Linked DNA regions of Drosophila melanogaster. The protein of the gene in region 3 purifies or fractionates together with the protein of the main gene of each other region. This does not show direct contact. Each region holds a gene or a part of one and is shown on either strand. Other genes may lie near its edges.

Region 1 (3,756 bases), 120 kb from region 3:
CGTTTTGCCAATACATTTGGTAATATCATTTTAAATAAGACTCTATAGTGACACACAAAGATTTGGAGGATTTCACAATCAATCCCAATGTAAAGCGACTTTGCTCATTCTTATTTTTTAAGAATTCACTAACAATCGGGCTCAAGTACACTTATCGTTAACATGCTTCAAAGCTGGCATATAATTATTTTCAATGTAATATATACATATAAAAACTTAGGTAAGGTTCTCTGGAAAATACACTGGTTTTTCCATTGAAAAACAATAGATGTTTAAACCGAATAAATCGATTTGCTTTTAATGCGTATGCATTCGGCTAAAAATAATTTTTGAATCTTTAAAATAAATAGAAAAGCTTTTACATTTCTAAATGTCAACACATATGGAATTACCTTTGAAACAGATGAGAAATTTTGTGCAAAATATATACATATTTTTTTTTAATAATTCCATCTGGATTTGTAATTCCAAAAGTGTTTTTGTATCTAACAATATACAGTATTAAAAAAACAGTATTTGGTATCTATAGAATAATATGTGGTTTGTCATAGCCAAGTTTTACTGCGTATGCGTGTATGTAAAAATAGGATTGGAGAGGGAGTTAGAGCTCTCGAGAGGGAGAAAGCAACAGGGCCGTGACAAAAGGCGTTGGAAATTAGGGAATTGCCGTGGAAAAGTAACAACGCAGTTTGGGCCAGGTTTTGGGTTTCAGCCGGAGTTTGTTCGGTGATAAGAAATTTGAGCGCGTGGACAGCTGCCAAGCAGCAGGTGTGCGCAAGGGAGAGGGCGATAGAGGAGGCATCAGTGGAATAAAGCATAAAGTAAACCAGTTAAACGGGACCGGGAGCACAAGAGAGAGGATGAAGATGCAAGCGGAAGAAGCTGAAGAAGATGCAGATGGAGCTGTCTGAATGGAAGGTCTCTCAAGGGGCAATTTCCTGGATTGAATGAAAAACACACAGGCACCGACAGCTGCAGTGGTATTGCAGTGGAATAGAGAAAGAATAAGATTAGGAGCGAAGAGGGGAGGCGGTCGACTGCGAGAACGAGTTTCCAAGCAAACGGCGCTTGTTGTTATTGTACAAGGGCAAATGAATTAATTTACTTGAGTAAATATGAATTAAATAAACAAGTACACCGACACAGGGGTAGACTTATCGGAGTGTGCACTTTTTTTTTTAGCGTTTAGCACCTGAGTGGCGAAATCTAGCAGAATTAAGATTATTAATGTGCTAAACAAAACATAAACACATGTACACACACAAACGCACAACTGGGGCTAAAGTGCTGAGGAGGGGGAGAGAGAGCCTTAAATCTCCAGGAGTGCTCCTGTAACGGTTATTTGTTTCCCTTTCTTCGCCCTTTCTTTTCACGTCTATTTCTGTACCCGATTTTAATTCGATTTGATTCTAGTTCGCCTTTTCTATGCCATGTTCTATTTATTCACCTTGTTTTCTTCTATGCGTTGGTCGATTGCGATTGCGTTCGCTTTTCTCTTTTGCGCAGCGCTCTCTCACGTTTCCGTTTTATTGATTTTGTTCGAATTTTGTTGACTTGTTGTTGCCAAACACGCACACAGCTAATACTGTTGGTTTTTTGGCAGAACTGCGACAGTAGGCGTTTCGCTTTCAAGTGGCTTCACTATACGCAATTTAAATAATTTAAAACTGGGCTCACTTCGCGAGCGAAGCGAAAAAAACAAATGCACCACCACGAATAATCTTCGATTTCTGAGCTAGTGGTGGCCAGCTGCTGGGCAGTCCGTATCGATTGTAGGGATGTAAGCGTGATAAGCTATCGAATCACATGAAATTAGTTATTAACATCGGAAAATAAACTTGCGTACTTGAATATAAAAACCTGAAATTATTTTGTACACTTTTATAGTGACAAAAGTTTCAAATTGCTGAAAAAATATCAAGAAATAATAATAATAAGTTTATTAAAGCTGTTCAAAAGTTTGATTAATTGTCTAATTCATAAACAGTATACGGAATACCCTAAACGATGAAAAGACAAGCAACCCGAATATAATCGATAAGCCTAAATAATGTTATTTTCCCTTCTACTCATCACTAAGCTAAGAAAATTTTGTAAACAACGACGTGGACGTAGTAAATTTAATTAGAATTTAGCCACAAAAATGCATAAATGTGCTATATTTCTTCTACTGGCTTTAAGTGTAAGTTATGTCTGAAGCTAAGACATGTTTTTAATATATATTTTATACCCTACAGTGCCAGCAAATTCAAGCCGAATTGACGGCCGCCGACTGCCGGGCGTTGGGTTTTATTAAGGCCCAGTTAATGTGTTCCAGTTGCGAAAAACTGGATGATTTCGGATTGGATACCATCAAGTGGGTTCAATAACATTTAATTAATCTAGCTTTGGAGTTGTAAAGATACCCATGAACTATGCTATAATCATTCCATAAGAAGACCTGAAAATTGTTTAATTAATATGTTAATCTAATTAGATCAGGTTAAATTTCATACCTCATTTTAAATATTCCAACCAAAAATGCTTAGCTTGACTTAGTAAGCTCCTCCATACCACTGACTAAATATGATTCTTCCTTCAGTTTTTAATAACAAAAATTATATTAACTTTTTATAGTTTCTGCTTGAGCCCATTGCTCTTTTTTATTCATCCAAAACATTTTTAACATTTCAGGCCTCAGTGTAAGCAATGCTGCACTTTGGATCAGCAGCCGGCGGCACAGCGGACATATGCCAAGGCAATTCTGGAGGTGTGCACCTGCAAATTCCGGGCCTATCCGCAGATTCAGGCCTTTATTCAAAGCGGCCGACCTGCCAAGTTCCCCAACCTGCAGATCAAATACGTAAGAGGACTGGATCCCGTGGTTAAGCTCCTAGATGCCAGTGGCAAAGTGCAGGAGACGTTGTCCATAACCAAGTGGAACACAGACACTGTCGAGGAGTTCTTCGAAACGCATCTGGCCAAGGATGGTGCCGGCAAGAATTCGTACAGCGTGGTGGAGGATGCCGATGGAGATGACGATGAAGATTACCTGCGAACCAACAGGATCTAAAATAAGCATACCCAAAACTGTAGATTAATAAAATCCGAAACAAAACTATAGACCGTACCATTTTCTTTCAAAATCATTGAATATTTATATTTTGTTAAATATATTCTGTTCAAGAACTAAAAATGTGTAGACGTGAGATTAGTACTCCAAACTTCTGGGATGTCAAGCCACTGAATTTAAAAAATATAAACATCAAGATCAGGGATATACATAAAATTGGCTTGTAATATGAGAGATCTAATCTAACTAAAGAGATTTAGTTTTTAAAAGTTTTTAGAGCCACTGCAAGGTGGCGTGAGCTTTTCTACGCGCCACCGCGGAAAAGCTGTGGACACAGTTTGAGAGTAACTGACAAGCCAGTTACTGCAATGCGACGCCGTGGGAGTTTTCGATTCATAAGTATAAATTAAATCATTTTATTTGTTATCTTGTTATCGATGGCAAAGGAAAGTTCCCGGCTGAGGCAACAAATTCGCGGCATTGTAGCCGAAATTCTTATCGCAAAGACATCACACCACACCACACCCCCCCCCCCCCTTTGTGGCCGTCAGCAGTGACGTAGTGGGCTCACATGGTGGGGGTCCTCAAGTCGATCAATATTTGATCAGCCTGCTGGAGTAATTGTGGTAACTGAAACGGCAAACAGCATATTTCTGCCCGCCAAAATCGTAGCTGATGTCTATTTCCGATCTGTGACGCAGCCT
Region 2 (3,756 bases), 7.8 Mb from region 3:
CTGCTGGTGGTGCTGGCCGGAGTGGTGCTGCTGGTGGTGCTGGCTGGAGTAGTGGAAGTTGTGGTCTTCTCAGTCGATGTGGTAATTGGTGGCGTCGTCGTGGTCTTTTCAGTTGTGGTGCTCGTGGTTGAGGTCGACGGTGGCGTCACAGTAGTGGTGGTGTCCGGCGGAGTGGTGGTGTTCTTGGATTCCTGGGTGGTGGTGTCCGCTGGAGCCGGTGTGGTCACTGCTAAGGCAAATAAAAAGAGTTTATAAATATTAGCTTATGATAAGTTCGTAAAACTATTTCACATCAGATAGACTCAAGTGTAGTAAATATTATAGTAATGAACCCAATGTGTGGTTTTTTTTAATCAACCCTTTTTGATACGTTCATATTTCTTATTTCAGAATGAATACATCGTAAAAAAATAATTTTAAGTAAGAACAGCGCCTATCATAGCTTCAAAAAAACAGGGCTTGTGTGCAGTAATCAGCAACGAATATTATAGATAAAAACTTATGCGTCACTCCAAAGTTAAAAGCAAATAAATTGGTAAGCATGATAAGTTCACAACGACTCTTATTGATCGATTTCCAATATTTCAAAAAGCACAACGAATACACATGTTTTGTAAGAATTGAAAATAAAAATAGTTCCATTGCACATGTAAATGATGTCAAAATTGTCAAACAAAATAGAAAAACGTAACAAAACAAATTGATTTGGTTCGGAAAATAAAGATTACTATATTCAAAATAGGCAGCATTTAGGTGATATTTATTTGTATGCAATAATGGAATTTAAGGAATGGAAATTTAAGAAAGCTGAAAAAGTAAACATTAAATTGTTTGTCAACAAAATATGGTCAAAATCTCTTTAAATCCTAAAATATGTACAAATATTTTCGTATGGTAATTAGGACGTGACGATTTAAATAAATGCTTGCGAACAAAATATGGTTACAGCTCGGTAAATACATATTTACCAAATGTCCACAAATATTAACGTATGGTAATGTGACAATTTACGGACTTTCGTAAATTCCAAGTTTCTTTTGGAAAGCTGTAGATTTGCAGTTCTTATGCGGAGAACATTCCCCCAAAGTCGGAGTAAGAGAAAATGGCCGGAGAATTGATATTCAATATAGGAATTGGCATTTAAAAAACCCCCACATCCACACACACGCACATTCATGCACACACACACCCACATGCCCGCACGGCGCACACACGCGAGGGGTTTGCGCACACGTACGCATGCACATGCAAGCGTGTGTGTGTGTGTGTCCGAGTGCATAATTGAGAAATGAGTGTTCGGCGTGTCTTCAATTCGATTTTAATTCGGTGTAATTTGATCAAAGACTCACCTTCTTCGCACAAATTCGCGGAGAAGAGGCCCACAAAGAGGCACAAGATTAGGAATTTCGCCTGCCGATTCATTGTGGTCGTTAAACGCTGAGTACTCGAACGACAAAGTCAGCAAATCTGCAAGGCAAAGAAAATACGTTTGCGAAGTGGTTGGGGATTAACAGATACCGCTGGAGTCAGTATTGCACAACTGGCGATGTCGCCGAGCTCCGATTTCGCTCACCCACAAATTAAAGCAAGGCGCAATTAAGGAATGAATAACACGACACGAAGACCAGATTCTTTTATGCCAACTCGATACTTCGATGCATCCCGATACATCGACAGCTGAGCCGTGCTCTGCAGCCCTGGCACTCGGCGCTTATCAGTAGGGGGAGACCGTAATGTAGTTGAAACGCCTCGCATTTGGTGCAATATAAAATTATGATCATAAATTTGTCCTTATATTTTACTTGATTTATTACTATAAAATTGTATACCCACCTAGCAATTTATTTGAAATATTTGTAGGTTAAATCTATATAAACATAAGTAATTTTTCACAGCTAAATCTTTCTTGATAACGCAATAACTCATTAATTTAATTTGATCGACTTAAATGTACCATTTATATTATTTTATTTTAGTGAGTATATAGTAGTAGTACAGTATAAATATGAAGTTTTTATAATTATTTATCAAATTAGAGAGTGCCTCTGTTCCAAGTGTAGAATTCAGGTGTGTTGGGGGAATACCCCTAATAAAATTGCTGTATCATCATTATATCTTGTTGCTGCAGAGCGAAGAAGACGTCAGTGTCAGTTTAATTCCGTAATCCAAGAAACGGTAACACTTCACACTTGGTGATTCAGAATTAGTAGATATTTCTTGTCTGTTTATGGCCCCTGTGAAGACAGGACTCGAATTAGCGTAAAGGAACGACCAGGAGAGCACCAAGATGACCTCGTACGTGCGTGCCATGTACGACTTTACCGGGGAGCCGGGCTCCTCGGAGCTCTCCATCGCGACTGGCGACGTGCTCTCGGTGACCCGGAGCGATGTGGGTGAAGGCTGGTGGGAGGGCAAGAATGCCCGTGGCCAGATTGGCCTCTTCCCGGCTGCGTACGTGGAGGTGATGTCGGCGGCCGAAGCCCAGAAGCTGAGCGCCAGTGGAGCGACGTCGGTGCCACAGGTTCCGGATCCCTTCGCCTCGCCCCCTTTGCCGCGTTACGATCAGACGGCGGATGATGATGGCAGCAACTGGGATGATGAGGACGATTGGAGCGACGACAATGACACGTACTCGGAAATTGGTCCAGGTGGCCAGAAGTCTGCGGGACAGTCGGCTCGCGCTGGCGGATTGTCGCATTCCACCAGTGACTACGATAACAAACACCTGCCCATCGCGCCCAACGATGATACCCAATCACTGGCCTCCGTGGCTGGTGGGACTGGTGCTGCTGGCACCGTCAAAAAGGGCATGTTCGCCAAAAGTTCCGATTCATATATACTCGGCTTGTCCAGCACCAAGGAGAAGATACCCGAATGCGAGATGGCCTACATTACACAGGTGGAGGACTCGATCTACCAGTGGACGCAGAACCATTCGCCCTACTCCGTTGTGGTGGCCAGTCCCAAAAAGGAGTCCAAATTCAAGGGGATGAAGACGTTCATTGCCTACCAACTGACGCCTAGCTTCAACAACATATCCGTAAGTTGGCCAACCCTGATATCGCCGTGATTAACAACACAATACGATAAAGCTCCGACCGTTGGCGCATGAGTGTGTAACTACGGGTGCAATATTTTGTTGATAATATGTGTCTGTGCTGTGTTCGCTACCCTCTGCCAAGGGTAATTTGGGCTGGTTCATGTGCTCACGAGCAGATGGAATGGAATAAAGAAAGACCAATCCTTTGTTTATCGAAACTCCGCACTAATTGCCGGCCAACATTTTCCAACTGAGTTGACCTTAAAAGTGACCCTTTTTTGCTGAGAAAATTTAAATGGAGATCATATCCATTTCTTTAATTGGTTTGTTTTATTAAGACTCTGAAAATTGGCTAAATTTATCTTTTTATTTGTTAAAGTTTTAATACTATTCAAAGCTATAGTTCATTTCTTATTAGCTACTTAAATAGTATTTTGATAATTTCGATCAACTTTATTCATTACAATAATGAGAAGCATAAATGCTCGACATTACTTTCGAACTGAAATCAAAGCTCTTTGTAAAGTTCTTTCAGTCCATTAAAATACACATACAAATAGGTAGAGCATTACAGAGTCGTAAAAGCACTTAAAATTCTTCTTTGTGGGGGCAATTCTGACCAACTGGTAGCCAGCGGCACTGCGATGATTGCTTGTGCTTGCGAACCGCCACGGGGAATGACTCAGCAACGAGCTCTGACCCCCCGAGCTCCGGGC
Region 3 (3,756 bases):
ATGGTTGACGAAATGCAACGACCTTTACACCGTAAAAGCTAGGTATTGGATAAGAACAGTTCGTAAGTTTTTCGTGCTTTTCGGCTTCTGAAGGAATTGTAGATCCCCTACTTTTCCCACCATACATATATCCCACTTTATCATCCATGAGGGGAGTGAAATCTACATGGCCCATCTACACGACTCAGCTGTTTGGCAATCTGCAGATTAGATTAGTAGTGAAAACATCGTAAAAATGGAAACACTAAATACAGCGGAGGCACTGATAAGGGCGACCAAATCCCCCAGCACCACCCGTTGATAAATACTTTTCAAATCTTCACACCAACAAAATGGTGGATACATTGTGGGCAATTCCTTATAAAAGGTTATAGGAATTGGTTGGCTTAGTTTTGATAAGACAACATTTCGGTATGCCCTTTAAAATGAGATACATTTATTGATTAGTCAGTTTGCAACGAAACCAAAACAATTGATAAGAGTATCTTATAAGATGTCATAGTAAGTAATACCTTACTATCTATTAAAAATTGATAAACATATAGGTGCCACGGTCACTATTTGGTGTTATGATAACTTAATTTGATACATACGCGTTTATATAACCCATAATTAGTTAACTGGCTTTATCAAAAATGGAATGAAATTTTTCAATCAGAGTTGGATGCGTTGTGAAATAAGGTTGTAACCATAAGGTGCTCCTACAAAATTCCTAAGATGTTAGAAGAGTTCCTAAGTTGTCCTTCAAGGTAAAGCTCTCTCTTTTCGTCGTCACCTGCACTTATGTAAACTTACCACTGCTGCCAACGATCTGCGAGGAGTGTAACCATTTCCAAATTCCTGGCGCGTTTGCTGTTGTCCCGCAACAGAGGCCGCTCGCCGGCGGGGCGGCGGGCGTGGCACGTCGCCGCCGGCCACCGAGGAAGAAGACGACGGGACGGGAAGGGCCGCCGCGGCCACCAAGCCGCTGGAACGTGCCGACATTGTTGTGTTGTTGTTGTTTGTTTCTTTTAGAGAAGCTTCTGCAATGAAAGAATGACGGAAGGAGAGAGGGTGAATATGTGCAAAGCGGAAGTGCAAATTAAGCGATAAATGACACGAAGAAGAAGAAGAGGAGGCTGCCATAAGGTAACAAGAGGGGGAAGGGTGTACAGAAGCGAAGGAAAGAAAAGCGAACAGACAACAAAGACAGCAAACAAAGTGAACAACGGTACTTGTGCTAGATGCCATCTCTGTCTGCCGCCCTGCCCCCGTGCAAGCGTGTTTCTAGTGTGTGTGTTGTGTGAATGAGGTGTGGGTGATAGAGCACAAAAGCCAAACATTTTCTTGATAATTAGCCAGGCGCGAAGCCATGTCTTTGTAGACCATTTATGGTTAGCATAAAGTTTCGCCCAAGTTTTCCACTTACGTTTACACACGCACAAACACGGGCCACTATATTTTCGCCCGATTTATGTATATATTTTGCGGTGGTATGCGTGTGGGCTCGCCTTTATCCACTATTTGCGGAAAATCATCACGTACTTCTATCACACGGCAAATTCTACACTGCTCACTATTCAAGCGATTATCACTTTGACCGCTTCGGCGGCGCACATGCCTTAATCGCCGATATCGGTCGGCTATAGGTGCCTGTATATATGTCGCACGCGCAGTATTAAATAAAATTTAAACACCGGACGGGAAAAATGCACAAAACGGCGACAAAATCGAGAACAAAACTGCCAGAGTGACCGTGTACGCGCACTGAGAACATACCACAGCACCCAGAAGCCTTAACAGTTAAGGGAAGCACTTGTTAAATTCATAAAATGGCTCGCAGGCTTTTATTGAACCAAATATTTATCAAAATAAGGTGAAGTTTCCGTAAAGCATGAAATTTGTAGTTATTATAAATATGTATATTATTATAAATTTATTAAGTAAACTAATTTGCCACGCAGCTAGTTTGGGTATTGTTCGGTATTATCTGAACACCAACGAACGGCCACACGCAAGCAGTGAAAATCCCAATGAAACGAGAAATCCAATAAGTTTTAGCGTCAATGTGTTGCAACGGTTGGTGCATTTATTGATTAAAAGAGACAAAATACCGAACCCCTTGACCGCAGAGCCAAATAATTCAAAAACACCCGACTTTAAGCCACAAAACACTAGAATCAACGGCGGTGCAGCAGCAGGAAGAAGAGGAAGAGAGGTGCGTGGTGCGTAGTTAGTTAGTGGCGAAATTGCGTATTAGAAACGAAAACAACAAGCAGCTCTGCGCGGGCCAGCAAACATTTCGAACAACCATTAGCCAGGGCAGAACAAGCCGATCCAACGTGTTGTCGCATTCGCAAAGGGAGTATCGAAAACTGATTACATGGGTCCGACGGATCAAGACTGGATCGGCTGTGCAGTGTCTATAGCCTGCGACGAGGTCCTGGGCGTCTTCCAGGGCCTGATCAAGCAGATTTCTGCCGAGGAGATCACCATTGTGAGGGCTTTCCGCAATGGCGTGCCGCTGCGAAAGCAGAACGCCGAGGTGGTCCTCAAGTGCACGGACATTCGCAGCATCGATCTCATCGAGCCCGCAAAGCAAGATCTGGATGGGCACACGGCGCCGCCGCCAGTGGTCAACAAGCCCACGCCCGTCAAGCTGCCCCACTTCTCCAACATCCTGGGCAAGCAGCAGCAGCTCCAACTCCAGCAGCAGCAGCAGCAGCTACAACTCCAGCAGCAACAGAAACAGCAGTTCCAGGAGCAGGAACGAGAACAGGATCTGCCATCGACGCCGCGGTCAAGGGCCAACGACAATGGACGGGTAGCGGCTGGCGGAGCATCGAGTTCTTCGGGCCCACGTGGCAACTTCAATTCGGCGCTAAGCGATAAGATGCATCAGCTGAAGCTAATCGAGACCAACGGCTCAAATGGCACCCTTAGGTAATATGGCCCATTAAACGATTGTGCAATGCCAATAATTTAAATTAATTGTTAGCTCTTTATAAAAAAAAAAAGTATGAAGATTTTTGCAGTCAGCACGATTGTGTTTATTTCATTTCATTTTGAAGCCATCTTTATGTTTAAACTTACCAACCTTGAGATACGAAATGAGTAAATTACCTTTATTACTGATAAAAAGCAACAGTCGTTTCAGATAGGTCTTGTGCCAACTGAGCGTCGTATTTAAAATAGGTTTCATCTAACTTTTATATTTGTTTCGTCATCCAGAACACCACAAACATCCCGTGCGTCCAGCGCTCAGCAGCAGCCGCAGATATCAACGACTCCCAACAGCGTGGCCGCCTTTTTTGGCAACATGATACCGCCGAAGGTCGAGGTGAAACTGGGCTCCTACGTGAGCAACACCCGGGAGAGTTACTGCAGCAGCAGCGGAGATAGCGGCGAGGCAACTGGTTTGTCGTTGGGCAGCAGCAAACCCATAGATATCGTCAGCAACGGAGATGGATTTTACAAGCAGACGGCAGCCTCGAGCTATGGGAATACAAATGGAAATGTAAGAAGGAATGGCAATGCCAATAACAATGGAAATGGCACCGGAAATGGTTCTTATACCAATGGAAATGGCAACGGCAACGGGAAGAACAAGCGGAACAGGGTGCGAAGGGAGAGCAGCATGCGGCAGCAACAGGTGCAACTGACTTTTGGCAGCGAGGCGGACGATCCGCTGATCCACGAGGATTTCGATTTTGAGGGCAATCTAGCGCTGTTCGACAAGCAGGCAATTTGGGACGACATCGAGTCGACGACCCAAAA

The links.
Region 1: the proteins of Nedd4 (region 3) and Ndfip purify together in Drosophila melanogaster (affinity purification with western blotting; one study listed by BioGRID). This does not show direct contact.
Region 2: the proteins of Nedd4 (region 3) and SH3PX1 purify together in Drosophila melanogaster (affinity purification with western blotting; 2 studies listed by BioGRID, with this or other methods). This does not show direct contact.

Annotation. Positions count from the first base shown.
Region 1 is NT_037436.4:17,652,545-17,656,300, forward strand, and holds the start of Ndfip (Nedd4 family interacting protein), read right to left. Parts: upstream 1,737-3,756; 5' UTR 1,448-1,736; intron 1-1,447. Other genes in the region: CG7484 (uncharacterized protein), read left to right, coding at 2,144-2,182, 2,238-2,356, 2,674-3,052.
Region 2 is NT_037436.4:9,712,217-9,715,972, reverse strand, and holds the start of SH3PX1 (SH3 and PX domain containing 1), read left to right. Parts: upstream 1-2,145; 5' UTR 2,146-2,287; coding exon 2,288-3,040; intron 3,041-3,756. Other genes in the region: vsg (visgun), read right to left, coding at 1-229, 1,350-1,422.
Region 3 is NT_037436.4:17,528,075-17,531,830, reverse strand, and holds the start of Nedd4 (Nedd4), read right to left. Parts: upstream 1,751-3,756; 5' UTR 1,409-1,750; intron 1,023-1,408; 5' UTR 985-1,022; coding exon 796-984; intron 1-795. Other genes in the region: Edc3 (enhancer of decapping 3), read left to right, coding at 2,363-2,922, 3,211-3,756. UniProt on the Drosophila melanogaster protein: Essential E3 ubiquitin-protein ligase which accepts ubiquitin from an E2 ubiquitin-conjugating enzyme in the form of a thioester and then directly transfers the ubiquitin to targeted substrates.